Arabidopsis thaliana: one gene and its partners. The protein of the gene in region 3 interacts with the protein of the main gene of each other region in a pairwise test. Each region holds a gene or a part of one and is shown on either strand. Other genes may lie near its edges. The genes, in order: GAI, SEOa, MPK20 and RGL2.

Region 1 (6,815 bases), on a different chromosome or scaffold from region 3:
CCAAGTTATTCTTCCTTTTTTTTTTTGTTCCAAAAATGCCTAGTATTTCAAGAATTCAGTAATCCAATTTTACTTGTTTAAAATTGGCTTGTTTATGTAATTAACATATATCACGACTTGTATTACTTCTTTAGAAAAAATAATGTTTGGACTAAAAAGCAGACTAAATATTCATTACGAATGATGTGACACCATTTTCATTTGTTAGCTTCTACTACTATAAAAAATAAATAAAGGAATCAATGAGTGCACCTTTAATTTTTTTGGTTAATCAACGAGAGCACTTGATATCAAGTATGACGATAACCAATCAAAGTAAAAAACTTTGGATGTCTTTTTCTCTTTGCTAGTAAATTAATAATTATACCTACCGAATTTGTAACACATTACACATTGACATGGTGCATGTTTAATCCAATACTATCGACGTCACTCTATACTCCGTAAGTAATAGTATATATACATTGAAATGATCCATTATACCATCTGATAAATTTTTGTGAAGTGGCTAAAAATATAAACAGTTTTTTTTTTTTTGTGAGAAAATGATGTAACGGAGCATAATTATTCGTGGAACACAAGAACATGTAACCAACCATGTAGCACAGCGTTAATTGAGATGGTCCATACGAAGAGCCGTCAACGGTGGGAATGGTCATCTCAATTCTCATCAGGGCCTAGCGTATAAAAATACTTTAGAGACGTGTAATAATCACATGGGATCTTTGGGACCACAGTCTAAATGGCGTACGGTAAGTTCAAGGGACCCGTTTTACACGTGGACCCAATCACATGTTGTCAGTTCTGATTTTCACGAAAATAATTTCGAATATTTTTGTAAGACATTAATTAGTGGGACTAATTGTTATTTTCTGATCTGTGTAATCTTATTATGATTTAAGAATAGTTGCCGTAAGCGACGGCGTTAAGTACATACTACAATTGTATTAACCAATTTTATCTACAAATAGCAAAAAAAATCGAGACTATACTTTAAAAAGAAACGATTACAACTTAACTCTATCGTAACATGTAATTGACAAAATAGTGAATGCTATTTAAGTGTAAAGACTGAATGCTACTATTTGATAATTACTGTTATTTTGAAATGGGTTTATATATACTGCAGTTTACTTTTCTACCCCCTTGCTCGAAACATGCCTACATTATTACAAAGGGGAAGGCTAGGGCACTCAAACAGTATGATGAAAGCTTTTAGTTCCCCATCCAAAGAACAAATATAAAAGTCTTTTGTAATTAATGAAAATGTTACTAGTTCTTATCCACTCTTACAGATAAATACTAATAAGGTTTAATTTTTTTTTTAAAGATCTTATAAAAAATGTTAGAAAAGGAGCTTTTTCTTATATTCAATTTAAATTTTTTAACAATTTAAAACTAAAACGGGAAAACGTCATAGTCCCTCAATCTCTTTTTAATAAAATGGAATATTAATTTCCATAATGGGTTTAATGATGGTTTACTTTTCCCAATACAAAAGTTCCATTTTATTTAATAAGACTATACTAAATACTTAAACTTTTTAATAAAAAATATCTGTATTTTAGATCAAAAGTTACAATCACACAAAACCAACACAACAAACTCCTTAAAAAAGCGACAAAAAGTAAATTGTACCACTAGTTGCATGACAATCTTTTTAGTTGTTCAAAATTGTATGACCATCTAAACTCTAAAGTAATACTAACTTTAGAAAATATTAATCTGTAAAAAGCTATATATTCCCTAATATATTAGTTTATTAATTTCAATATATTCCCTAATTACAAATTTTGGTGTGTGTGTGATTTTCAGCCTTATCTCTTTGAGCTGTAGATGTTGCTGTTAGCCCTCTGATCCATGATTCATCGGACATCGAGCCCCATCACGAGCCTTTTTATTCTCAACAATAATAATCATTTTTTTTCTTATAACCTTCCTCTCTATTTTTACAATTTATTTTGTTATTAGAAGTGGTAGTGGAGTGAAAAAACAAATCCTAAGCAGTCCTAACCGATCCCCGAAGCTAAAGATTCTTCACCTTCCCAAATAAAGCAAAACCTAGATCCGACATTGAAGGAAAAACCTTTTAGATCCATCTCTGAAAAAAAACCAACCATGAAGAGAGATCATCATCATCATCATCATCAAGATAAGAAGACTATGATGATGAATGAAGAAGACGACGGTAACGGCATGGATGAGCTTCTAGCTGTTCTTGGTTACAAGGTTAGGTCATCCGAAATGGCTGATGTTGCTCAGAAACTCGAGCAGCTTGAAGTTATGATGTCTAATGTTCAAGAAGACGATCTTTCTCAACTCGCTACTGAGACTGTTCACTATAATCCGGCGGAGCTTTACACGTGGCTTGATTCTATGCTCACCGACCTTAATCCTCCGTCGTCTAACGCCGAGTACGATCTTAAAGCTATTCCCGGTGACGCGATTCTCAATCAGTTCGCTATCGATTCGGCTTCTTCGTCTAACCAAGGCGGCGGAGGAGATACGTATACTACAAACAAGCGGTTGAAATGCTCAAACGGCGTCGTGGAAACCACTACAGCGACGGCTGAGTCAACTCGGCATGTTGTCCTGGTTGACTCGCAGGAGAACGGTGTGCGTCTCGTTCACGCGCTTTTGGCTTGCGCTGAAGCTGTTCAGAAAGAGAATCTGACTGTAGCGGAAGCTCTGGTGAAGCAAATCGGATTCTTAGCCGTTTCTCAAATCGGAGCGATGAGAAAAGTCGCTACTTACTTCGCCGAAGCTCTCGCGCGGCGGATTTACCGTCTCTCTCCGTCGCAGAGTCCAATCGACCACTCTCTCTCCGATACTCTTCAGATGCACTTCTACGAGACTTGTCCTTATCTCAAGTTCGCTCACTTCACGGCGAATCAAGCGATTCTCGAAGCTTTTCAAGGGAAGAAAAGAGTTCATGTCATTGATTTCTCTATGAGTCAAGGTCTTCAATGGCCGGCGCTTATGCAGGCTCTTGCGCTTCGACCTGGTGGTCCTCCTGTTTTCCGGTTAACCGGAATTGGTCCACCGGCACCGGATAATTTCGATTATCTTCATGAAGTTGGGTGTAAGCTGGCTCATTTAGCTGAGGCGATTCACGTTGAGTTTGAGTACAGAGGATTTGTGGCTAACACTTTAGCTGATCTTGATGCTTCGATGCTTGAGCTTAGACCAAGTGAGATTGAATCTGTTGCGGTTAACTCTGTTTTCGAGCTTCACAAGCTCTTGGGACGACCTGGTGCGATCGATAAGGTTCTTGGTGTGGTGAATCAGATTAAACCGGAGATTTTCACTGTGGTTGAGCAGGAATCGAACCATAATAGTCCGATTTTCTTAGATCGGTTTACTGAGTCGTTGCATTATTACTCGACGTTGTTTGACTCGTTGGAAGGTGTACCGAGTGGTCAAGACAAGGTCATGTCGGAGGTTTACTTGGGTAAACAGATCTGCAACGTTGTGGCTTGTGATGGACCTGACCGAGTTGAGCGTCATGAAACGTTGAGTCAGTGGAGGAACCGGTTCGGGTCTGCTGGGTTTGCGGCTGCACATATTGGTTCGAATGCGTTTAAGCAAGCGAGTATGCTTTTGGCTCTGTTCAACGGCGGTGAGGGTTATCGGGTGGAGGAGAGTGACGGCTGTCTCATGTTGGGTTGGCACACACGACCGCTCATAGCCACCTCGGCTTGGAAACTCTCCACCAATTAGATGGTGGCTCAATGAATTGATCTGTTGAACCGGTTATGATGATAGATTTCCGACCGAAGCCAAACTAAATCCTACTGTTTTTCCCTTTGTCACTTGTTAAGATCTTATCTTTCATTATATTAGGTAATTGAAAAATTTTAATCTCGCTTTGGAGAGTTTTTTTTTTTTGCATGTGACATTGGAGGGTAAATTGGATAGGCAGAAATAGAAGTATGTGTTACCAAGTATGTGCAATTGGTTGAAATAAAATCATCTTGAGTGTCACCATCTATAAAATTCATTGTAATGACTAATGAGCCTGATTAAACTGTCTCTTATGATAATGTGCTGATTCTCATGAATATGCTCTTTTAATGTGCATGGTATTATAGGTGGACCAGATTATTTTAACAATGCTAAGTCGTTTTCAGTTTTCTTATTTGTTAATTTGAAAGAAGAAAAGTAAACAAAAGAAACCGAAAAGATACAAATGTCCACCTTTAATACATGTATCTGAAAGATATAGTAGGCGATTATATATGTCACCTAAAAAAAAAAAAGAGTAGGCGGATTATATTGTTCAACATCAACTGCACATAAATAATTCCACATATGTAAAAATGGGAGATGTTGATGTTCTTCGTAAATAAAAGACTGAAGTTTTTTTTTTTTTTTTTTGACAGCAATTGAAGTTGGTTTACGAACTTGTTTAAGAGATAAAAAAACATTCGACAGTGGTGGTAGTAGACTAGACTTCACTCGTGACCCTTTGGTATTATATAGTTGAGTGACTGTGACATTTGATCCTTTGTGATGTATAAAAAGGGCACGAGGGCGGTTTGATGGTTGATTATAGTCAACTTTTGCTACCCCACATATATGGGCCGAATAAGTGCTAATGGGCCTTAGTAAAAATCCCAAAACAAGTAGAAATGGTTCAGAAAAAAAGATAGCAACTTTGAGGTGGGAATTGGTCAATTGGCAAAACAGAGGGTTCTAAAATCTAGGGTTTATACGTTCTATAGAAGGGAGAGGAGGAGACGTGAGAGTCTTTAGGCGGAAAAATATATTTGCATATTTACTTTTGTATGTGTTTGATTTTGTTTCAGAATTATGGATATTTTGGATTTTGGTTAATCAATCTCTCTCCCCTCGTGAAAAACTTTCTTTATCTATTTTGATGAAATTTTTATTAGGAGATGGATAATGAGAGTCATGAGACTAAATGACTAACATACATCCGCTTTATATCTTACACAAAATCGTATAACTAACACACTTATTTTATTACGAACACGCATAATAACATCACAGACAGAGATGGTATACATAAGCATACAATACAATTGCTTAACAAGACCGCCATTATTATTAGCATAACATGTAAAGGCGGATGATAAAGGCACTTACGAGACAAGTACAAAAGACACATGCATGAGGATGATTTACGACGATGACCATGGAGGGTTATTAAGCTTTGTTCTGGCCCTTGAGGATGTGGTCATCCATATCAGCAACTAAGCTCTTGACAAACTTCATGTAGTTGATGGGTTCGGGGGAGTCTTCGTTGCGATTCTCCCATATCAGAGTGACTTTGCAGACGCAGCCTTCGTTCGACTTGGGAATGAACTGTAAGATAACCTCATACTTCTTGTACTTCTCCATCACATGACCCTCTAGTCCTCTGAACGTCAACGCCATCTTCTCGTCGTCTATCTCTCTTTTCTCCTTGATGACTTCCGGCTTCCCATCTTCATACACACACACACATTTTTAGTCCACATTAGAATATATAGATATCATCCAATCCTCGCGTGTTACCAAACACAGAAAGAGATAGAGTAAAGTATGGACCAAGTGTGTAGTTCCAGGATTTGATGGAGCCGTGGGAGTCCCAGTCGCCATCGTGGACGGTGACGCCTTGGACATGGTGGCCGATGGCGTCCGGGAAGAGATTGTTTTGGCTCCTCCATCGCCTGTAGTGTTTCTCCGCCGACCCTTTCAGCGGTACTTCCGCCACGTATTTTCCTGACATCGCCATTTCTTGATTGATTGTTTTCTTTTGAAATGTGTCAAGTGTTTTATTCGATGGAAAAACCCAAGTGTTGCGCTTCCTTTATATACAAATTAAGACTCACCACAACACTAACAAGAAACGAAATTATGGCGATAAAGATTTAATTATAGGTGGTTTATATCTTTTAAACTATAAGATAAAGATTTCATTCGTTTAACATTTGCTAAATCCTGAATATGAAATGCTTAGTCCATCCGTACCATTTTAAGTGACTTTTAACCAAATAATTGTTTTATTTTAAGTGAAAGTTAAAGAAATGTATACGTAAGGATAGTTTGTAAGCGCTTGAATATAAGGTTTGAATTGGTTGGAATATGTCATTATTAATAGATAACACATAACAGATTATTAACTGGATAAAAAGAAGCAAGAAAAGTAGGGCGAAATAGACGGGCAAGAGGGTTTTGCGTTATTTAATGACCATAGATGTCATAGTGATATGCTCCACATGTGTATCCCATGTGTCGTCATGTCCAAATTACCTCACACTTATAGATTCTTTGAACCTATTTTTGTTTTGTTTTGACACAAGCACCCTTTTATGTTATAACCATCGACTTAAGAAGTATCTTTAATTTACATAAAATATGAATATATAACAACTGAAAACTGTCCTTCAATTAGATACGAAACGTGTCCATCAAAATTAGTTATGCATATATTGATATTCCCACATATGAATCAATGTTGGAATTGGATTGATCCGAGTTTATGATAAAATGTGGGATTAATGATTATCCAATATATATTAGTATTTTGTATATAATATAATTAAGAATATATGTAGAGTGTTCAGGTTTTATAAGTTTTTTAGTACGTATTAGAATAATCTATTTAGGGTATCTATGTTTAGTTTATTCTTTCTTTGTAAAAGCTGCAGATTGTTATAGATTTCTAAATTTCAGTCTTTACTTGGTTATCTTTTTTTGGTCATATCGTTCGTACTTCTTAATTATCACACCCACATGCATGAATATTTCAATATTCCCCTTTTTTAGTTAAAAGACTTTACGGTAAACGAGAATAATTTTTTTACGAT
Region 2 (7,642 bases), on a different chromosome or scaffold from region 3:
AATACTAACGGAGGCGTTGGTGTCTTCAGAGTCAAGAGTGGCACGATCGAGAATATCTTCAACGAGAGAGAGAAGGCCACGCACTTGGACTTCGCGAGCATCTGGGGAGTGAGTTTGTTGAATCAGCTTCAGCATCATGCTTTCGTCCGATGACATCGCAAGTCCCGTCGCCGGTATCATCTCCATGGACGGAGTTTTACCGGTCGTATTCTTGTGACCCGCCAGTTGCTGAGCGTGCTGGGACTTGATCAGCGACTCCATTCTTGGTTCAGTTTGCTTTTGTTAGAAGAAGAGGCTGTCTTTATTGGTTTGTAGTTTTGCTATGTGAGGTTAGCCTTAAATACTCGTTTCTCCCCCTTAGTTACGGTTGGAAATTGAGAATCGACTTCTTTGCTTCTGCAACAATTAAATTAAACATACAAAGAATATCAATTATATAATCTTGTTTCTTTTTTGCTTTTCTTTTTTTGGTGGCTTATTATAGAAGTTTTAATGAGATATATAGTTCCCGTCCACGTGAATATCGTTAGCACAATAAAGTATAGGCCTACTTTACACGAATATATATAGTAAATAAGAACTAAATCATAATGGGAAGAAAATGGTTCACTGAAATGTTGCGAGTTTTACTCGTAAATCTTTAGAGCTAGTACTCTTTCTTTATGTGTGTATTACTGAATTCAAATTCATATAAGACTAAAAGTGGATCAAAAACTACACTATTTTAATATTGCTACTAATGATATTAACTTCATTGCCAACTAGAAATTTAGATCCTAAAATATACAGATTTTTGTCATTTTCTTGGGAGGTTTGGAGACGAATTCCTCACTTTTCTCCATCATAATGATGATCACTGGACTACTAATTAATTCTCGCATTTTTATGTTACTAAAGGACATTAAAAGATAAGACACATTTTGTTTGCTACTTTGCTTATATTCTTATGTTACTTCACCTCATGCCATAGAATATTATAATTTATGGCTTCTGTCATTTACTTTAAGTTACTTTACATTGATTTTATCTCATGCATGCCTCAGAAAATAGCATCAAGAGTGAAGTGAACAAAAGGGTGTGAAGTTAAGATTCTTTGCTCTCTTTTGGGTAAAACTAAAGAATTTCTTAAGCTCAATGATATATCTTGGATAAGGCTAAAAAAAGCAATAAAAGAGTAACCAAGGATATATTTATCTAAAGACAATCACTTTTCTAAAAATAAGATTGTTATGCTTTGGGTTTATTCTATGCATGTTTTTTTTTTTTTCTATTAACTTTAGCATAACGTTTATAGGTAGGATTAAATTTGTTGTTTCTATACGCAACAAATTTTAATATCTCATCATTAGAAATACGTATAAGAGCTTCTTCGAAATCGAATCCGATATATGCAATATTTAAAAAGTATTTGATGGTTTGGAAGATTTAACTTTTACATTAACTACAGGCTAGGAACCGCTGATTTGTCGTTTAAAGTTGTATTCCCCCTTTGTAATACAGCAATCAGTCTCATGGTTTATTTTTTCAATAATGTAGACTAACACTTTTAACTTTCTATTAGATATATTACGATATGTGATTTGGACTCAAAAGACTGTTCATCTTTTGATTGATTGATCCATCCTTTTACTTTGCCTATATTTTACTAGCATTAAGTAATTTCATTTCAAAAGGCTAAATGTCAAAAGATATTACTGTCACATTAAAAAAATGTCACGGTCACTTGTGTTACTTGTGTATTAGTTCACTAGTGTTCTAGGAGCTTAAGGATCAAGAAATCAACAAAGAAGCAATGTTCAATCAGTTCATTGTTCTAGAAGCTTCCGATAAATAAACCTTTATTATTTCGAAATCTCAAACACACAAATTTTATTACAAAGACTCTCTGCTTTTAGTAGAGCAGAACAACAACAACAACATGAAGAGTAGAGAAACTCACAACAAGGAGGAAAAAAAAGACGCAAACTTATTTGGTTTTATAGGAACAAGTTGTTGGCTTCCAAATCAACTTGTTCCCCAGTATTATGGGATCTTACTCAAGGCAGCATTGGTACAAGTAATACTTTTCCATAGTCCTACGGCACTCGGTGCACTCAACCTCATTAGGTATAATTCCAGCAGTCTCAGGAAGCATGAACCTTGTGCAGTGATGTGGTGGGAGACGCATTAAGAGATGATCATTGAGCGCTGTAAGAAAACCCTTTGTGGGGATGTTGACTTCCCATTCGTTAAATTCAGCCAAACCCCTAGAAAACAAGTTCCCTTTGGCTCGAACCATCATGTCCGATGCTTTACTCACCAGTCCCCATCCATCTCCTTCTCCTCCATAACCTAACATAGCAACCACTTCTTGCAGAACAAGGTCCTTTTCCTCTTCTTTAAACCCTTCTCTCCCCTTGATTCCGTGGGCTTTCAGCATCCTCTGCTTCGATTCCCACATGCTCTCGACCCTGGTCCAGAAAAACCAGATCTGGAACAAGTCCGGCAAAGTATGGCTGAGATTTTCCTCCCGGATTGTGTTGATTATCGGCTGGATTCCATTCTTAGGGTTTCTTTTCCCGACATAAACCATCTCAAGTTGAATGTTTGCGGCCTTCGCTACATTACGCCAGAGACTCGTGAAGTTTTTGATCCATTGCATATCTTCTCCTCCGTAGAGACATATGTATTTTCCATCAACAAGCTGATAAAAAACATTTGAAACACACACAGATTTTCAGGTTACGTGTAACACAAGAGAAAGAAAAATTTATTAGTACTCTGTTTTTTTATTCAATCAAGAAACCTGGTTTAAGGAATGAGGATCAGTGCCATCAATCAAGAACTCAAGATTCCACTCCTGTTCGCTCCATAGATCACGTTCCCTTGCGGTGGTAAAAGGGTGAGCAAAGGGTTGCCAGATCCAGACCATAGGAAAGGCGTTGGTTGACATAACTTGACCTTTGGGATCAAGTGCAACGAGTATAGGCCTGTTCTTGAAACCCCACCATTCCCTCACAAACCTTATCGCGGCTCGTCTTAATTTCCGAGGCTCTCCAAGAACGTACCACCTCATGTTCATGTGAAGGGCCTCGAACTTGGCATCGTCAGCTTCTGTCCAGAAATCTTGAACTGGAACCCAAAGAATCTCGAATGACTGCTGCCATGCTTCTGTGTAGAGCGATTCCAGGATGTAGAGCTCTTTTTCGATGTTTTCTAGGTCTGATATCAGAAGCAGAACGTGCTTTTGGGTGAGCACGTTGATCCCGACCTGGTTAATGTTTGAAAACAGATCAGTCACTGACAAGAGACATATACAGATGCAGAGATATAAGGAGGTTTTACGCGTCTCTTTGAAACACCAGCTCCGTGGTAAAGAAAATCAATGGGTCTGAGAAGACGAAGTAGAGGAGGAACAACGTCGACGTGAATGATAGTAGTGAACGTCTGGATGAGTTCTTGATACTCTTCTTCGATTATACCTTCCTCTGTAACAGAGTAAAAAAAACAGAGCTTGAGAACAGAGGAATAAAAATACTCTTAAATATATAGAAACAGAGAGAGAGCTTAAAACGACGTCGTAGTTACCGATGGTCATTTTACTCTTCTTGAATTGTTCTAACAAGTAAGCATTGATCTTCCTAAGCCTTTCGCTATTCTCATGTATCTCCGAAACTTCCATAAACGACATGATTTGACTGAAAACATAGATGAGAAGCACATACTCAACTTACTCCTACTTGAAACCCTAGAAATCAGAAAGAAAAACAACTTACTCCTGCTTGAAACCACTGGCGCCACTGATGTGAGAAACACATATCAAAACACAGCGAACAATCCAGTAAACCGCAGTGGGGATATGGTCGGTAAACGCGGCTGTGATGTGGTTTGGCGGGAGTTGATAGATATCGATGATGGTAGTGGTGAGATCAACCATGTCTTGCATCAGAATTCGGGTCTTGTCGAGACGCTGGTGTAGAGCGTTCTGCCGGGAGAAGATGCTAGGGAGCTGTTTGATGAGAGCCAGAGATTTTGTGAGCTGATTTGTTGCGTGTGTCTCCGCGAGGAGGAGAAAAACGCCGTATTTCACGGCCAAAGCAGATAGGACAAGGACTAGCTTAGCATCCCAACGGTATTTGGAGACCAAAGACAGAACAGAGAACGTCGTCGTGTTGCGACTATCCAAATGAAGCCCTGATGTCATCATACCGTGAGACTCACCGCCATGGAGACACTTGCAGTCGATCTGTGTCAGAGACATTGATACTTAGATACTGACTCAAACGTTACTTAAAACAAGAAAGCTTCATATATACCTCGCAAGAGATTTGATCAATGAGATCCGCAAAAGTTTCAAAGGAGGTATGATCAGCGTAGTCCTTGAAGACGAGTGATGGCTGCAAAAAGTTTTAAATTTAATACGCTTGTAAAAATCAGTATTTGAAATGGGGATTAATTGTTGCACAAGTAAACTAAACCTTAGGAGCAGAGGAGTCAATGGATGGGACATGAGACTTGAAGATGTCATTAACAACGGAGAGAAGTGATGTGACATCAAAGAAGATCATGTCTGGACTGTGAGTCTTCAAGACTCTATCAGCCATGACTCGGTCATCAGAAAGTGAAAACATGGGTCTGCCATTTCTATGGAAAGCTTGTTTCTTTCCCGGACCAAATCTTCCACCGAGCGAATTGGGACCCAATGATTTCGGAACCATCGAATGTCGGATATTAGCATCAAGGATTTCCTCAGATGGATGAGGGTAATGTGCAGTCTTAGGGACAATGGAACCGAGATTCTCGCTATTATGATCCATCACCTTATTATGGTCCGCAGGAGCAGCAACATGGTGATCATCAGTATGACCCCCAAAGGGGTTGTCTTCGTGAGATCTCGGTGCTAAAGGACGCCTCTCGCCTGCGTTATCAGCCAGCCTCTGCTCGGCGGATCTTGGAATAAGGGAGACCCTTTTGAGAGGGTCGGCCGTTGGGAGGGTTTGTGAGTTCAATTGAAAGCGTTGGGCCATATTGGCGAGGTTGAGAGAAATATATGGTGAAGGATCTGATGTGTTGTGATGAATGATTGGGTTAGTATCCATGTGTGTGTATATATACTGGTGCAAAAGGTTAAATAAAGTGGCAACTTTGAATCAACTTCTTTGCTTCACCTTTGGTTCAATATCTGTTTTGGTGTCTTTTACACTTCCATACAGTTTTTCCCTTATCGATATTTCATAATTTTCATAATAATAAGAATTTCAGGTCTTGGATAATATTATTTCTAAATATGAAACGTCTCTAACGCAACTGCAACAGTCTAATACTAGTAGTGAGAAACATTTAATATTTCAAAGTTTATATACTGATGGTACAACGAGTTATCCTGATAAACATAACTAAATTTAGTATGTACATAGTAAAATAAGGGACTTCATAGCTATTTAAGAAGACACATGCATGGAACATAGATAGTGTACATATACAATGGATTTTTGTTTTAATATAAAAGACTTCCTTCTAATATATATACTGTTATTATAGAATCTAAACCATAAAGTAAGCAACTCGTGATACTCGTTTGAAGAGGGACAAGGCTACCTTGCTTGGATATTGTCCATGAATCTTCGAACAAAACGAATCACATACAATGCATGCTAATTGAAAACTATATATTAATTATATTTTCCAAAGTGTGTAATCTTTCTGTCAATTATTTCTTGTGTAATACAGGTTCTTCCAATTTGATTGAAATCTGTAATTTCATTCTCCACTTTTTAAAAATTTGTATTGTAAGTTTCTCCAGCTGGACTTGGTTGAGAGGTTTTTTCCTTTTCTTCAAAAACTTCCCATCCAATTCTTATACACTTTTTTTTATGTGCGTGTTACTCATAAATAGGTTTGAAATTTTTATAAGCAATGACAGCATTAAAAGGATCGGGCGTAGAAGCTAAACCGATAAAACCCATAAGCCGAGTCAAAACCGATATCTGAGCTCCAGGCTGTTGCCGGATGATCTCCGGCTGAGTAAACCCTTCAATAGACTGAAAGTACTGAACCACCAATTGGATCCGACTGTATTCGGTTCCATCACGCCAAACCCTAATTGCTTTCTCATAAAACATCCGGTTGCTAAAACTCACTATCAACACTCCTCCCGGTTTCAACACTCTATACACTTCTGCAAACACCTGCGGTTTATATAATAAAGACCCGGTTTAGGAATCTTCTTGACATAACCGAAATCGGTTTTGGTTTACGGTAACGTACCTTTTCGGGTTGTTGTAGATACTGTACACCAACAGAACACAAAACAGCGTCGAAATACTTGTCTTCGAACTCGAACTTCTGATCTTCATTAAGATCCTTGACGAAGAAGTAATCGAGTCTAGGGTTACGAGCAAGCTCCTGTGCGTTAAGACCATGCCCTACTACTTTCTCGTACTTCACTTCTTCTGGAAGATGGCTGACCCATGAGCTCATCAAGTCAAGTACAGTCGAACCGGGTCTCAACCGGTTTCTGTATAGTTCGGTTAAGGAGGATATGAAACTATCATCTACGTGGTTCACGAACCGTGGATATGAATAGAATTCACGGTCAGGATCGGCGTTTAGTTTGGTCCGACCTTCGTTGTTAAGTACTAACCTTTGGATCCTACCGGCCGAGGATGATGGTCGAGGATCGGTTTCATCGATTCGGTTTGATATGTTGGTGATTCTTGGTCGGAGAATTCTAGGTTTCAATTGAAATGGAGATTGTTGGAGGTTGAATCGAAGAGAATCCATAAGAAAAAAACTTTCGCTTTATCAAATTTCACAGAAGCGAAGAATCGTTTGTAGAAAAAGTGACAAAATTTATGTAAAAAGAAAGGAATGGATAACTGATGAGTGGTGTGATTATTTCTGCTCTTCCCTACTATTTATTTGGTATGTTTGCTTGTAGCCCAATTTCAGGCTAATGGGCTTCTATTGGGCTATTCATCCATTTATTTCTCATTGCTTATGTCGACAAAACAAATCAAAATTAAAGTGTTTAAGCAATCAACTTTGGTTTAATCGAATCTTGAAAAATCAAAGAAAGCCAACAGACAAATACATAATTCTTACAATCCAATCAAAGAAATTTTATGAACAAGATAAAGTTTAGGAATTCAATCAAAGAACAAAAGAACACTTTAATTTTCTACAGAAAGATCTGAAAATCTCTGGAAGAAATGGGATTTGGGCTGGTCAAAGCTGCATGTCAATGGTGTTGTTAGTAAAGCTTGATTCTGGTCTGGATCGGCGCACGACAAATAGGACACACTTTAAGATCTGGTCCGCATTCACAACAAGTCTGATGGCCACAACCAAACGCCATGTTTTTCGGGTTGCTCAGACATATCGGACATAGCTGTTCAAGGGGAAAATAACACAAACGAGTTTAACAACAAAAAGTTCCAAAGCTCTTATTTCACTTAACATTTCAAACAGATTCCTAAGTTTCTACTAATTACCTGAATATCGTCTGCACTACTCATTTGCTTGCTCTCAAATGGATAAGGAGGTACACTCGGTTCAAAATTCGGTATCCGGGAACTAGAGAATGATGATCCACTCTGCACCGGTGGCGGAAGTGGGATTCTCTGTGGGATATTTCCATTTCTTACCCTGCAAAAATGTAAGG
Region 3 (8,777 bases):
CTTCCAGTCAAAGTGATTGTAATGTGATTTATACAAATACATTTTGATATTAGTATTTAATTTCTCCAACATGAACTTTGCATTAAATTTGATATATTCAAGTATAGTAATTTTTTTTATAAGTATTCAAGTATAGTAGTTTTAAGATTCTTTCTACTTAAAGAAGATAATAAAAAGAAATGAAAATCTCTCTTTACCAAAATAACAAATTTATTTATGGAAGATCTACTTACTGTAAAATAAAAACAGAGGATAAAAACTTGAAACTTTCCAAGAAAAATAGTCCTATAAATAAGACTTTCACGAAAACCTAAAAGATAATAGAACCTATGGGTATCAAAAAAACCTCTGCAACTGTTTTTCTTGTAATTATATTGACAATTTCGTTTTCTTATTACGATGTTGAGGCCGAGTCAGGTATGTTGTTTCTTTGCGAAGATGTTTATTTTTTTTTGTTATTTTCAACTATCTTTGATCACTACCAAAACAATAATTCAGGAAACAAAAAATTCTTAAAAATATAGAATTAGTAATACAATATTACATGTATCTGTGTATATGTATATGTTGTTAAGAACCTTGAAGAAACTAAAACTGTTATTTGGACATGTATCTACAGATTTATAGTTTTAATGTGGAGTTGTATATATGTGCAGTGATCGAGCCAGCAAAATATGGTGCTTGCCTTTTTCTATGTGATGCTAGACGGGATGATCATGCATGCTTCTATGACTGTACTAATGTAGCTATTTACCGGACTGGACATTGTGTTGGAAATCCTCCACGCTGTTGTTGCATCAGAGGATAATAATCGATTTATCTTCATGACTTCATCAATAATTGGTGAATGGAGCTTGATTTATGTGTTTTCTAGTATATGATTCTAAAAGATGAACTTTTTGAATTGTTGTTTTTCAATTTCTTGATAATGAATAAAACATATAACTTATCATGAATTTTGGTATTGGATTATGATTTTTGAGAGCTTATATGATCCAAAGCAGAGAACTTGGGGAGTGGTGAAAGGCCTTGAAGAAGGATTATTGCCTGGCGCTTGTAAGTGGTCAAAATGAGTTACCCTGGTGGGAAATTGGTTCTGTTCTTGCAGAAAACAGAGATCTTGTGTTTGCAGAAAAATTGCAAACCGAATCTTACATTTTCCATATCTCCTTACCCATTTTATGTTCGCAGAAAAATGAAAGACGTAAATTAGATTTCCTCACATTTTTTCACATAAAAAGAAAGAAAGATTTCCTCACATTTATTCAAGACTAGGTACAAAAATTCTTTGAAGATCATTTTGAAAAAGGATTAGGTCCACTAGATTGAAAAAGACTAGAAAGTAAAAAAAAATGAAGATATGTTTTCTTCTACATGAACCTTATGATGCAAATATCATTTTGGCCAAATACATAAAACAACAAAAATTTAACTTAATTTAAATCAAATTAACACCAAAAAGAAGATTAGAAAAAACATGTCTATTGAAAAAAGAATATGGAAGTATAAAGTAAAACAGTACTAACACACTATAAAAAAAAATGTATTATTCTTCGTTTTTCAACCAAACACTATGATTTGTGCTTACGTAACAAGGTCTGATTGATATTTTTTGTTTAATCCCGTAAGACTAAATATAAGATTCGCTCAATCGTCAAGTAGTTTAGTTATTAGCTAATCAAAATATGATTATCTTTTTTATAATTTAGTTAAATAATTACACTAATGTGAGCTGGTTTGACTTTTGATTTTAACCACAAGAAGGAGACAGTAAGACAGACTAATGATTAGCTGGTTTATTACATTTGACAACAAATCTCTCACGCGTCAGAGATGACGTGGCGTTAACTATTCGGATATGAAAAGCCCTGCGTGTTTTAAAAAAATGGCATGGCCCATTGGGCTAGTTAAGTGAGAGTTTGTTTTTTTTTCTACCCCTAATATTACTATATTACACTCATGCCACAACCAAAAGCTAAATTAATATTGTTGTTTTTAATTGAAGGTTATTTGATATACAATATTAATGGAAAAAAACAAAATAATATATATTTTTTTTTACAGCAAAATAATTGAGAATCATATTACCAGAAACTTAATACAAAAAATAAGCTAAAAATTCCTTACAAAAATGAAGATGATGAAATATAGATTGAAAATATAATTTAGCAGTATATACAATATAGCAAATGATAAAGTGAATAAAACAAAGTTTTAGCAACTAAAATTAGCAAAAAAGCTTTTAAGGATAAAGATGATAACATTCTATTAACATTATATCTATGAGATAAGTACGTGACAAAACGAAAGAATTGGATAAAGAAGACATGAATGAATGGCAATAAAGATCAAAAATAGATCATACACTAATAATGACCAGATCAATAATGTCCTAATTAATTTATTAACACTTGATCAAATAATTTATTTTTTCGTTTTACTAATGGGTTGTTTTTTTGGATCACAGTGACCAAAGCAGCTTACCAAACGCGACACTTTAACCTCTATATATAAATCTCCGTCTAGATTCCTTCCTTATCTCTCTCTCTCCTTTCATTTTCACTACTTCTTCGTCTCTCTCTCTCTCTCTCTCTCTCTCTCTCTGTATCCCTTGTGTGTCGGTGATCAGATCTCGTGCCGACGAAAACGTGCGTCTAAAGCAATGCTGTTCGCACTCTGCTATCTTCAATTCCTCGATTTATCTTGAACTGCGATTGTTTGTTGTTGTTTCGATTTCGTTGGGGGTAATTGGGTGAATTAGAGAGGTGAATGAGAAATTCGCCTGCGATTCTGTCTCTGTCGGTGATCGATTGCCGGAGCAGAACCAGGTCGGATTCTAGCTTCGCCATTTGGAGTAGTGGTCGATGGGGCCAATGCGGCTGATCTGAATTTCTATTTCCCTCCCCCCAATTCAGATCGAATTCTAGGGTTCTTCTAATTCCTGGGTTTTTAGTCTGTGTTTCAATTGAGTCACGATGCAGCAAGATAATCGCAAAAAGGTGAAACAAAAACTCTTCCTTTTTTCCAATTATTCCATCCGATACTATCTGTTCTGTCTGAGATATTTATGTGTGTGTTTCGGTTAATCTTGTTTGTTTCCTGTTACTGTCTTTAATCTTTTTGCCGTTTTGGACAACTCTGTTTATGATCAATGAACGTTACAAGTGTCATCAAACAAACAACGCATAATTGTCATCATTCAAGACAAGATGATGTGTTGTTGAGACATTTTTTTTATTTCTTCATCAGCAAATTGACATTCAATTGCATTGATCCTTCATTAGGCGTCCTTTGTAGCATCAGTAGAGAACCTTCTGCATCTGATTCTTGTATAGTGTTATCTCTATTGTAATGTTTCTGACTTGGAAGTAATGGTATTTGTAACAGAATAATCTGGAGATGGAGTTCTTTTCTGACTATGGCGATGCCAATAGATTTAAAGTTCAAGAAGTTATTGGAAAAGGCAGTTATGGAGTTGTTTGCTCAGCTATAGACACTCTTACGGGTGAGAAAGTCGCGATAAAGAAAATTCATGATATTTTTGAGCATATTTCTGATGCTGCGAGGATTCTACGTGAGATTAAACTTCTTAGACTCCTAAGGCATCCAGATATAGTTGAAATTAAGCACATTATGCTTCCTCCTTCACGAAGAGAATTCAAAGATATTTATGTTGTCTTTGAGCTCATGGAATCGGATCTTCATCAAGTTATTAAAGCCAATGATGATTTGACTAGAGAGCATTACCAGTTTTTCCTGTATCAGTTATTGCGTGCACTGAAGTACATTCACACAGGTAGTCTTTTTCTTTTGGTCTCTCTTTATCCGGCATCTAGCAATAGTCTTTTCATCTTCAAATCTCTCTGTGTGTATATATCGCTCTCTCTGTAGATGAAAATCTTGGACACTTGCAAAATGTAGTGTATGTCAGATTTGTCTTTTAGGACTTTACATTCTACAGTACTATCTCATACATTGATGCACTGAATTGGATTCTTGCGGTTTCCATTGTCTGGCTAAATGTTTGCCTTTTGAAGTTTGCCCCAATATATCTGAACTTTAACTCAGCTGTCGAGTTTGGTTTGTTGTATTATATTATCTTATGAATCTTGGTTGTTGCAGCTAATGTCTACCACCGAGACCTGAAACCAAAGAACATATTGGCAAATGCAAACTGTAAACTTAAGATTTGTGATTTTGGATTGGCAAGGGTTGCATTCAATGATACCCCCACAACAATCTTCTGGACTGTACGTTTGACAAGATGGCTCTCTAAGAGTCTTTTCCTTCTCTTAAACTGAAGTTGGTCTAAATATTATTCACTACGTTGCAGGACCTGATACTCTTCTACATTATTTTCTACTGAATTTACAGGACTATGTTGCTACCAGATGGTATAGAGCTCCAGAGCTTTGTGGATCTTTTTACTCTAAGGTGTTCATTTGTTCTCTATATAACATCTTTTAATTGGTGTGTTGCCGCGATATAACTTTTGATGGATTTGGCTTTGTAGTATACACCCGCAATTGACATCTGGAGTATAGGCTGCATTTTTGCGGAGGTGTTGATGGGTAAACCACTTTTCCCTGGAAAGAATGTGGTTCACCAGCTGGATCTTATGACTGATCTGCTAGGGACACCTTCCCTGGACACCATCTCACGGGTATTGATCTTCTTGCTAAACGAAGTCCATTGAGTTTCTACACATCTTAAGCAAGGACCAGTAGTGATGAGTACCCTGCTTTTATGATGTTATACAGGTGAGGAATGAGAAGGCAAGGAGGTACTTAACAAGCATGAGGAAAAAGCCACCCATTCCGTTTGCACAGAAATTCCCAAATGCAGATCCTTTGTCTCTGAAGTTGTTGGAGAGGCTTCTTGCTTTTGATCCAAAAGACCGGCCAACTGCTGAAGAGGTGCTTTTCAACTTCCATATTGACTAACTATCTCAAATCTTGAATTCTCGGCTTCCTGATTGTTTTCTCTCTCTAATAATAGAGTATCATGCATTTGGGGTTTCTATTGGAGTGAATCACTAAACTACTCTTGTATACTTGAATCAGGCACTTGCTGATCCATATTTTAAGGGATTGGCAAAAGTGGAAAGGGAGCCTTCATGTCAACCCATCACGAAGATGGAATTTGAGTTCGAGAGAAGAAAGGTCACTAAAGAGGATATAAGAGAGCTAATTTCTAGGGAGATACTTGAGTACCACCCTCAGCTGCTTAAAGATCATATGAACGGGGCTGATAAAGCCAGTTTTCTCTACCCAAGGTCGTAATTTTTGTTGATTACATTCTTGAGCTAGCATTGCATATCACACCCAGTCCCTGACATTGATGTATACTGTGCAGTGCTGTTGATCAATTTAGAAGACAATTTGCGCATCTTGAAGAAAACAGTGGTAAAACCGGCCCTGTGGCACCTCTAGAAAGGAAACATGCCTCTCTTCCCAGGTATATCCTCATTTTTTCTGTAAAGTCTGTTGTCACTTGATCTGGTTTCGGTGATCTCCTCTGTTTTTGACCCCCGTTATGCAACTGCTATACTAGTTGTATATTAATATACATTGACATGGCAAGGATAAAAAAGATGGAATCATAAGACCGTGACTATCTGTTTCTTGTGTTGAACACTAATTTCTATAAAAATATGTCCTTCTGACTCTGTGTTTGCATGCTTTCAGATCAACGGTCATACACTCAACCGCAGTAGCACGAGGAGGACAACCAAAACTTATGAATAACACAAACACATTGAACCCTGAAACTACTCAAAACATTCCTTTTAATCATGCAACAATACAAGCACAACAAAGAAACCTCTCAGGTACTTTTAATCACTCATCCTGAATCCAACAGCAATGTGTCCAAACTGACCTCTATAAACTGTAAAACATCTATCTACACGCAGCAGCCAAACCAAGCACATTCATGGGCCCGGTTGCACCTTTCGACAATGGCAGAATCAGCAGAGATGCATATGACCCGAGATCATTCATCCGGAGCACTAATCTCCCCTTTTCACAACAATCTGCTGCAACAGTCGCCATGGGAAAGCAGCAAGAGAGAAGAACAACTATGGAGCCTGAGAAGCAGGCAAGACAAATATCTCAGTATAATAGATATGCACCAGATGTAGCCATCAACATAGACAACAACCCGTTTATCATGGCTAGAACGGGAATGAACAAAGCCGAAAACATCAGTGACCGGATCATAATCGACACAAATCTGTTACAGGCAACTGCCGGAATAGGAGTCGCAGCGGCAGCTGCAGCAGCTGCTCCTGGTGGTTCTGCTCACCGGAAAGTTGGAGCTGTTCGGTACGGTATGTCAAAGATGTACTAGTTCTCCACCTAAGCTGGGCTTTCATCACACAGAACATTGTATGTTTCCATCTTCATGTCATAAAAGAAAATTGTCTATGACACAAAACCATATGAGCAAAAAATATTTTTTTTATTAATTGTGATCCATCATTTGTTTGTTTTTTCTATTCCGACAAATAAATAAATGGATGTTAGATTCTGGTATATATAACAAGAAAGGTTGAGAGTTTTTCACGTTTAAAAGAACCGCTGGCTACAGAAGATGGATCAGTGTGGATGCGCATGGTGATGATGATGATGGTTTCATGGCACATCCAAACGCATGTGGTGGTGGGAACCCATATCACAGGCACCACTTTGTTCTTCCAAATGTCAGTAGAAACAGAAAGGTGCATTGTCACTTGATCATATCTTTAAACCAACCAATTTGTGTATATATTTTTGTGTAAACAGTTGAGTTCGCTTACTTTCTTCCTAAACAAGTTATTTCTTCTACAAATTAATAAATGAGCACAATGAGAGATTGCTGTTCAATAAATAGTATCTCAAAATAGAAATATCAAAATAAAATTAGAAAAAATCATTTAAAGATTATTTATTCACTTCTATTTTAATTAAAATAAAAATAAAAAAATTTGGGATCTTTCTTCTTCTTTCTGATTATAAAGTTTTTAATAAAATAAGTTTTAAAGCAAAAGAGAGATATAGCAAGTGAAAATGCATGTACAATTGAAAAAAATGCAACTAAATGAGGCCAAGAGAGGAGACAAATAAGGTTAGAGGTGGACCCAAAAACCACTGTATGCATTGTCCCAGAGATCACCCATCATGGTAGGTCCACCTGTGTGGCCCATATCTCCAGCCTTTATAGAAAAAAAGAGAAGATAACTAATTAACTTCCCTTGATTTGGAGTTTTTTAGCTAAACATTACATATTTTCTTTCTTAATCTTCCCCTTTCTTAATTCTTAAAAAAACATATACTGTCTTGTCTTTAACCAAACTCTTCTCTTTTATTTTTGTGGCAACAAAAATAAATAGTGAAAGGGAATCATCTCAAACTCCTCCTAGATATAAATATTTAGGTTTTCGTCATTAAATAAAAGTTATTTTGGAAAAAATAGAAACAACGAACAAGATACAAAAGGACATAGAATTGATTATTCCAAGACGACGAATGTGAAAGCTGGCTAAAAGCTAAAATTAAATTTCGAGTGTGTTATTTTTGTAACATATTTAATGTAAGTGCAAATACATAAATAAATAGATACTAGAATTGGGGAGAGTGTCAGTTTGGTAGATGGTGAAATGCGAAAGGCACCCGATTTTTGTAAATCTCAATCCCGAGAAACCAAACCCTCCTTCGTCCCCTCTTTGGAAACATCATCTCTTTCTTTATTTCTCTCTTCCATCTTCTTCTTCTTCTAAAACAACATCTTAACAATTTTTAGTATTACTAAAAACCCTAGACGTAAAAGAAATGTGTTATTCTGTTCCTGATCTTTGTCTTAATTAAGACCATACATTATTTCTTTTAATTAGATGTCAATCATTATTCTTTACTAAATTTTTTTTCTTGAGTAGATTTAGGTTAATTTGCAATCTTGGATTAAAGACCTACAAAAATGCAATTGTTTTTTTTTAATGCAATTATTTTTTATTAAGTCTTTATCTAGTTTTTATATCATATAGTTGACAAAAGAAATGCACCGGAGGGCTCATTTATGGAACCAACATTAAGTAAGATTTACTATAACGGTTTTATGTATAAAAGATGTATATTATAAAGATCTCTAGCTAGAAACATGTAACACTATATTCGAATCCAATAACACTAAACTTCCTTGGCTTTCTTCTTGTTATATAGTGGCCATTTCTCTAACATTATAGATATATTGAGATTGTTGTTTTTACGTGGTAAGAAATATGGGATGTTAATTGGAGTTTCTTTTAATAAGAAAAAGGAGTTGACAAAAAAAAAATGAAGGACAGATTTAGGAGGTCACTGAGGTGGGGGGGACCCAAAAAAGGGTTGACACGTGGCCACCATGCCCGATAGATATCATGTGGATCTTAGTAGGATTAGGTCCTCAATTGTACGAACAAGTTCACTATCTCTTAGAGGATCTATTTGATCTCATCCATCTAATAATAATACTATATTACAGTCTGTACATAATGTATAGAGAGGAGGAAGCACATGGGAATGGGGCTTTGAAGATGGAGATATTCATGTGACCCGCACATGTCCTCTCCTCTCTCTTCCTTGTTCCCATGCAAGTAGTGTCTCACTGTATCCTTCTTCTTTTCCTTCCTTATCTCCACGCGCGTGGTCGTTTTCATTTCGTCCGTACTACGTAATTACGACAAAACTTACTCTTATACCATCAGGCATTAGTCCATTACCAGGCACCACCCGAATGGCCTATAAGCATAAGTGCATAAC
Region 4 (6,943 bases), on a different chromosome or scaffold from region 3:
GATTGTTCTTAGAATTCTGGGTATAGTGATTACTTGAAATAGTTCTTTGACTGAATTGATCTCTCTGGTAGTCATTAGTTAATTGTATCATCTTTTCATCGTAAAGGCCAATGCTTTATTGGAGTTCTTCAACTTTTTTCTCGGGATTGCAGAAAAAAGTTTTCTATTTTGAATTCCATGTGACATTGTATATGTTGTTGATCCATATATGAAATGTTTATAAAATGTGGAATTTCACTATTTCTTTGTGACATTTACAATTTTCTCTGTGATTTCACTATTTTTTTTTGCAGATTGTTACCTTATCATGTTGTAGCAGATTACGAAGCAGAAGAAGATGATAGTATCTTTGATTCAAACACAACAAGCCAGACGCTACCCCGCTGTCAGCAATGGGACAACAACATTGCAGCCAAAGTTGCAGAATTCACGGCGACATTTGAGGGACAAGTCCAAGCTTTCGACAGGATAATTCAAAAGAGAAGCGATGGAGACAGAGTTGAGGAAAGGCTGATGATGGAACAAGTTTTGCTCAATGACGAGAGAAACGCATGTATCCAGCTGGATAGGGAGATGAAAGCTCAGGATGCGAGGTTAAGAATGGCGGCTTTGGCTCAAGCAGCAGGACAAGCAAGGGCAGAAGAGTCTCAACAGTCTCATGCCGAGATGATGGCTCGTAACCCGTTGAGAGCTAATGCGATTGGGAATCATGGAGAACAGGGGCGTAACATGAACCCTAATGAGATGATGTTGCTGATGAATGGATGGGGGAACAATAACAACAACAATAATAGCCAGAAGGAAGAGAAGGAACCATTAGAAGATTTCTTGAATGATGAAGAAAATGAAAATGGTGAACATGAGAAGTGGCGAAGAAGTGGGGATTTTGATTTGAATATTCGGTAAATGAAACCATGACTCAGATTTTCTTTTGGTTTGGTTATCCAAATACTCGTAGTTTGGTGATGTAGTTAAATCTTGAAAGGTAGTGAATAAGGTGAAAGATAAATTGACGATGATGAAGTGTTCTTTGAGGTGGACTAGTTTTGGCGAGTGAGCATGACGCGCTTCAGTTTCGATTCTCTCATCTTATGAATTTTAAAAGAGGGATCCTAAATAAAAAGTAACAAATAATGTAAACCACAAAAGCAAAACAGGCCAATTTAGACACAAGTTACATCAAATGACTAAAAATGGAAAAGCATGCACCATGTGACTTCTAACACAACAACGAATATCATTTTCTTGTAGCTGCGATTGGGACCATACCTATATACAATCCCCACAACATTTTTCTATAATTTATTTTCTTATATTCCAAAAGGATCTTTTACGGTTTCCAAACGATACCACTATTCGAAAAAACCTTAATTATTATGCATGATGATGATGTGTGTATGTAAAACTGCTGAAAGATATATGCAATAAATTAATGAAAGTAACCTTATGTTGTGGACGTCTCGTAGGCTATGTCTTCCTCTACGTGGCACATGAGAAGTTGCTCATGTGTCCCCCTCAAATACTTGAGCTGTAGACTGTAGTTTTATCTCAGTGAAACAATACATAGCTAAAAACATATTTGTTTATCATTATGGTAAAAAAGAATTCACATCACCAGAATGTTAGAACTTGGTCAAGAAAAAAGAGAGTAATAGTTGAATCATATTTGTGTCTGATTATACTTTTCTTATGGACCAATAAAATAATTAGTTATCTAATGTTGTCTCAGTTTAATATGATCTCTAAAAACTGATTACTCTATGACATTAAACCTGCTGGTAACAAAAAATTGTTTGCTTTGAAAATTTGTATTTTTATCCAAACACTAACAACTTAGGATTCTTGCTTCATGATTATACACTTTCGACTGAGGAAAAGATTATATACTTTCTACCAAGATATGAGAAAATCAAATTTGTATAATTCAATATTTTCAGTTGTCATTAGAAAAGAGTTGATTATCAAATGTCAATTATTTAGTGAAAAAATAAACATTATCCAACATAAGGAAAAAAACTACACTTAAGTGCCATTATCTTAACACGCATTTGGTGCCGTTTGGGTTTAAGAACAACGAAGTCGTAAGCGAGAATATGACAATATTCAATGGCATTTAAGAACAATTAAGTCGTGATCGTCTATAAGACTATGACACTATCATTAAAAGACACTTTAATCACTTCACAACTTAAAAACATCTTACCAACAAATATGACGAAAGCACACTACAACCTAAAAGTTATAAAGTTCCATTGGTCAAAACTACTAAACAGATTTAGAAATCTCTACTAAACAGTTATAAAGAAAATTATCCATTACTACAAAAAAAAAGGAGTAAATTTCTTGGAGTTAGGAAAAAATGAAAGAGAGAAACAGATGCCAAACAATAGTGGCATGCTCTGATTCTTATCTCTTAAACACACTTCACAGTCACTTCTCTAATTGGACCTCTCTCTCACTCCCTCGTGCTTTATATATTGCTCCTCTCAGAATCTCCTTTCTTTCCACAAAAATTGTCTGTAACCAAATCACAACAAAGACCCACAAAATTCTTTTTTTTTTCTTTTTCAAATCCCATTAATAAAAACCTTACCAACCCATGAAGTAAAGTAAACTCCTTTCTTATAAACTCTCTTTTGTTCTTTTTTTTTCAACTTCATCAGTCTCTTAACTCACCATCACAAGAACAAGAAAGATGAAGAGAGGATACGGAGAAACATGGGATCCGCCACCAAAACCACTACCAGCTTCTCGTTCCGGAGAAGGTCCTTCAATGGCGGATAAGAAGAAGGCTGATGATGACAACAACAACAGCAACATGGATGATGAGCTTCTTGCTGTTCTTGGCTACAAGGTTCGATCTTCTGAGATGGCTGAAGTAGCACAGAAGCTTGAACAACTTGAGATGGTCTTGTCTAATGATGATGTTGGTTCTACTGTCTTAAACGACTCTGTTCATTATAACCCATCTGATCTCTCTAACTGGGTCGAGAGCATGCTTTCTGAGCTGAACAACCCGGCTTCTTCGGATCTTGACACGACCCGAAGTTGTGTGGATAGATCCGAATACGATCTCAGAGCAATTCCGGGTCTTTCTGCGTTTCCAAAGGAAGAGGAAGTCTTTGACGAGGAAGCTAGCAGCAAGAGGATCCGACTCGGATCGTGGTGCGAATCGTCGGACGAGTCAACTCGGTCCGTGGTGCTCGTTGACTCTCAGGAGACCGGAGTTAGACTTGTCCACGCACTAGTGGCGTGCGCTGAGGCGATTCACCAGGAGAATCTCAACTTAGCTGACGCGCTGGTGAAACGCGTGGGAACACTCGCGGGTTCTCAAGCTGGAGCTATGGGAAAAGTCGCTACGTATTTTGCTCAAGCCTTGGCTCGTCGTATTTACCGTGATTACACGGCGGAGACGGACGTTTGCGCGGCGGTGAACCCATCTTTCGAAGAGGTTTTGGAGATGCACTTTTACGAGTCTTGCCCTTACCTGAAGTTCGCTCATTTCACGGCGAACCAAGCGATTCTAGAAGCTGTTACGACGGCGCGTAGAGTTCACGTCATTGATTTAGGGCTTAATCAAGGGATGCAATGGCCTGCTTTAATGCAAGCTTTAGCTCTCCGACCCGGTGGACCTCCGTCGTTTCGTCTCACCGGAATCGGACCACCGCAGACGGAGAATTCAGATTCGCTTCAACAGTTAGGTTGGAAATTAGCTCAATTCGCTCAGAACATGGGCGTTGAATTCGAATTCAAAGGCTTAGCCGCTGAGAGTTTATCGGATCTTGAACCCGAAATGTTCGAAACCCGACCCGAATCTGAAACCTTAGTGGTTAATTCGGTATTTGAGCTCCACCGGTTATTAGCCCGATCCGGTTCAATCGAAAAGCTTCTCAATACGGTTAAAGCTATTAAACCGAGTATCGTAACGGTGGTTGAGCAAGAAGCGAACCACAACGGAATCGTCTTCCTCGATAGGTTCAACGAAGCGCTTCATTACTACTCGAGCTTGTTTGACTCGCTCGAAGACAGTTATAGTTTACCGAGTCAAGACCGAGTTATGTCAGAAGTGTACTTAGGGAGACAGATACTCAACGTTGTTGCGGCGGAAGGGTCCGATCGGGTCGAGCGGCACGAGACGGCTGCACAGTGGAGGATTCGGATGAAATCCGCTGGGTTTGACCCGATTCATCTCGGATCTAGCGCGTTTAAACAAGCGAGTATGCTTTTATCGCTTTACGCTACCGGAGATGGATACAGAGTTGAAGAAAATGACGGATGTTTAATGATAGGGTGGCAGACGCGACCACTCATCACAACCTCGGCGTGGAAACTCGCCTGAGTCGCGGCGGTAGAGATGACTCGCCTGAAACCGGGAAAAACAATAAATGTTTTAAAAAATTAGGAAAAGAGACCGTAACTTTAGTTATGTTTTTACTTTTTAACCCGAAGTTTTTGTGTGTTTAACCTTTTTGCCTAAATGTTTACAACTTTATCTTTTTGGACCTTGTGCGTATCTTTGAGAGTTAAGAGAACGAGTAAAAAATCTTGTATCGTAGATCGAGCTAAGTAGTTTTCAATAAATGGAAGGATAACGATTCTGTATGTTTTTTACTTGATCCAATATATATGAATTTATTTAAATGATTTTGTGTCATATATTTTTCAAATTTGGACAGTTTCGTTGATAACATGGGAAGTGAACGTGAGCGTTTCTGAAAAGGCGGATCCAAAATGTACTTTCAGTTTCGAGGACTGATGTCAGCCTTTGTTAAAAGATTTTCTTCGAAATATATTTTGGTACATTTTTGTTTTCGAAACAGATTGTTCTTTTCTCTCTCTTTATTATGGGTTTGATGAGGTAATATGGATGTCAAATTGATTTTGACGTACGTTATCAACTTTTAAAAATATGCGAGGTGAAATTATTCTACTTTTATGAGATCATAAGCCTCAAATTCAATGGTCTTCTACCTAAGAGTTGGTGGATCTAAATTTTGGGGGGTTTCAGTTTTGAAAACATATATGAAGTTATTCTTTCTGGAATTCAATCTAGACGTATAGTCAAGAAGGAAATTATAAAACGACATTAACGTAGGGATTTTGGTCGGATAGGTTCGGATTATATATAGAACACTCCAATGGCACAATAATATCATTGAAACCTTTTTTTAAAGTAAAAGCGATTCTATAAGTAATGCATGTACACACAAAAAGACTTTAAATTACAAAATGATTTTATTATGAACACTTTTGAGTAAAAAAAAAAAAAACCAGTCACTAAGAACCAAAGCGCCGGCAACTGGACTGGCATATATATATTCTTCAATCTTCATCACCCTTATTCGGAGTCAAACCACCGTTTTTATACTTGGAAGAAACCTAGGGATTGCGGTTTTCGATCACAGGTTATGGACGAACAAGAGTCGAGGCACGTTCTTGTAGATGTCTCAAGCTTTTTTCCATGCTAACTTGGACCATTTCAGCTAGCATCTTCTTTGCCTTACCGGATTGATCATCTCCGTCTATATGAGAGATTAAGCTTGACACTATGTTTTCTATTGTATCGGGTTGGACCTCTGATCTCGGACTTTCCGAGTTCCTTAGTAAACAGAGAAGTCTTTGAGCTTTAATCCGAGATTTCGATGTCCCCTGAACCGTGAGCTCAAGCAGTCCCGGTATTACACCTTCTCTAAGAATTGGCTCTCTGTATTTACTCCTATCGCTTTGGCAGAGCGTTAAAAGCACGCCAACGGCATGTTCCCGAGCTTGTAATGACCCGTTTTCAAGAACTTCCACGACCGCTAAAACTCCTCCTTCATCAGAAACTAACCCTGTTCTCGCCTCCTCACCAGAAACCATCAAGGCCTCTATTAGTGAACAACATTTCTCAGATGTTTTCGACGACTTTTTACTTGATTTGAGAAGATTCAGTATTGGTGAGAGTGGTTTAGTTGCTAGGATCATGCTTAGGTTATCGGGGAGTGTAGAGAGGTTGGAAAGAGCCATTACTGCATCAGCTTTAGCTTGTGGGCTTCCATGTTTAATGACCTTGACTAATAAAGGAACCACACCATTAGCTCCAATGATGGGTTTGTTGTTTGCTGACGCGGAGAGAGTGAGCAAAGATGCAGAAGCATACTCTTGAAGTGTTGGGCTATTTGATTGTAAGAAGTTGATGATTGGCTCTAAAGCACCGGCTTCAATTATACTCACTTTATTCCTAAAATTTGAAAAATTAGAAACAAAACTCAGAATAATAGTCTCAGAGGAGAATATTCATCGAAGACAATGACACATATGTTTCTAATCAAATAGGCAAAAATCAATCTTTCTTTCTCTAAGACTTTACTCTGCATTCAATTTAAAAGTCATATGAATTGTAATCAAGGGAAAATAGAGTTGAAGCCACCAACCTAACCTCTTAGGAAAACCAAGCAGACGTAATTTAATTAATGTTTATGGGACACCAAAATTAAAGTAGGAAAAGATATTTAATGAAAACAATAGTATAAGAGAGGAAAAGTGAAGCAAAAGAAAGGCGTGAGTCCTAGTATCTTTACTGTGCTAGCTCCATGTCTTCTCTCCACTAGATGGATCCCATTAATAAAAGAAAGTGATGATCTCAGAGTTTAGACCAAAAAATAAATTGACTACAAAGTCGTTTGCGTATAAACTAAGAAAGATTCAGTAGTAAGGAAAAAATATCACAAAAAATACTCAAGTCTGGTAAAGCAGGGACCCTACAGATGCGGAAAGAGCTAATAAATTAAGTTAGGCAAACTTATTAATACCTACCCCAAAGCAAAGAGTTAGTTAACTTCAGGTGATTTCCATCTATAAACTATCACTTAACTTTTAAATCATCCTCTGTTTTTAGTTTGACACAAATTTAAAGATGCACCACTTTGATGCATTGAGATTGGCTTGTTATTGTCCTCTCTTT

The links.
Region 1: the proteins of MPK20 (region 3) and GAI interact in binary tests that used the Arabidopsis thaliana proteins (3 or more experiments, as listed by UniProt).
Region 2: the proteins of MPK20 (region 3) and SEOa interact in binary tests that used the Arabidopsis thaliana proteins (3 or more experiments, as listed by UniProt).
Region 4: the proteins of MPK20 (region 3) and RGL2 interact in binary tests that used the Arabidopsis thaliana proteins (3 or more experiments, as listed by UniProt).

Annotation. Positions count from the first base shown.
Region 1 is NC_003070.9:5,147,296-5,154,110, forward strand, and holds GAI (GRAS family transcription factor family protein), read left to right. Parts: upstream 1-1,686; 5' UTR 1,687-2,118; coding exon 2,119-3,720; 3' UTR 3,721-4,120; downstream 4,121-6,815. Other genes in the region: AT1G14930 (Polyketide cyclase/dehydrase and lipid transport superfamily protein), read right to left, coding at 5,170-5,450, 5,554-5,740. UniProt on the Arabidopsis thaliana protein: Transcriptional regulator that acts as a repressor of the gibberellin (GA) signaling pathway. Transcription coactivator of the zinc finger transcription factors GAF1/IDD2 and ENY/IDD1 in regulation of gibberellin homeostasis and signaling.
Region 2 is NC_003074.8:244,652-252,293, reverse strand, and holds SEOa (sieve element occlusion protein), read right to left. Parts: upstream 5,103-7,642; 5' UTR 5,079-5,102; coding exon 4,458-5,078; intron 4,377-4,457; coding exon 4,296-4,376; intron 4,226-4,295; coding exon 3,756-4,225; intron 3,678-3,755; coding exon 3,568-3,677; intron 3,468-3,567; coding exon 3,325-3,467; intron 3,251-3,324; coding exon 2,786-3,250; intron 2,684-2,785; coding exon 2,033-2,683; 3' UTR 1,822-2,032; downstream 1-1,821. Other genes in the region: SEOR1 (sieve element occlusion amino-terminus protein), read right to left, coding at 10-261; AT3G01660 (S-adenosyl-L-methionine-dependent methyltransferases superfamily protein), read right to left, coding at 5,862-6,167, 6,247-6,762; RGLG1 (RING domain ligase1), read right to left, coding at 7,232-7,369, 7,473-7,626. UniProt on the Arabidopsis thaliana protein: Scaffold protein required to form the phloem filament matrix in sieve elements.
Region 3 is NC_003071.7:17,838,146-17,846,922, reverse strand, and holds MPK20 (MAP kinase 20), read left to right. Parts: upstream 1-2,542; 5' UTR 2,543-2,975; coding exon 2,976-2,999; intron 3,000-3,387; coding exon 3,388-3,796; intron 3,797-4,122; coding exon 4,123-4,250; intron 4,251-4,374; coding exon 4,375-4,434; intron 4,435-4,513; coding exon 4,514-4,663; intron 4,664-4,760; coding exon 4,761-4,916; intron 4,917-5,063; coding exon 5,064-5,275; intron 5,276-5,355; coding exon 5,356-5,457; intron 5,458-5,687; coding exon 5,688-5,830; coding exon of another isoform or gene 5,831-5,853; exon of another isoform or gene 5,854-5,914; coding exon 5,915-6,351; 3' UTR 6,352-6,755; downstream 6,756-8,777. Other genes in the region: AT2G42885 (Defensin-like (DEFL) family protein), read left to right, coding at 330-417, 657-808.
Region 4 is NC_003074.8:817,032-823,974, reverse strand, and holds RGL2 (RGA-like 2), read left to right. Parts: upstream 1-2,322; 5' UTR 2,323-2,695; coding exon 2,696-4,339; 3' UTR 4,340-4,638; downstream 4,639-6,943. Other genes in the region: AT3G03460 (mediator of RNA polymerase II transcription subunit-like protein), read left to right, coding at 294-906; AT3G03440 (ARM repeat superfamily protein), read right to left, coding at 5,407-6,220.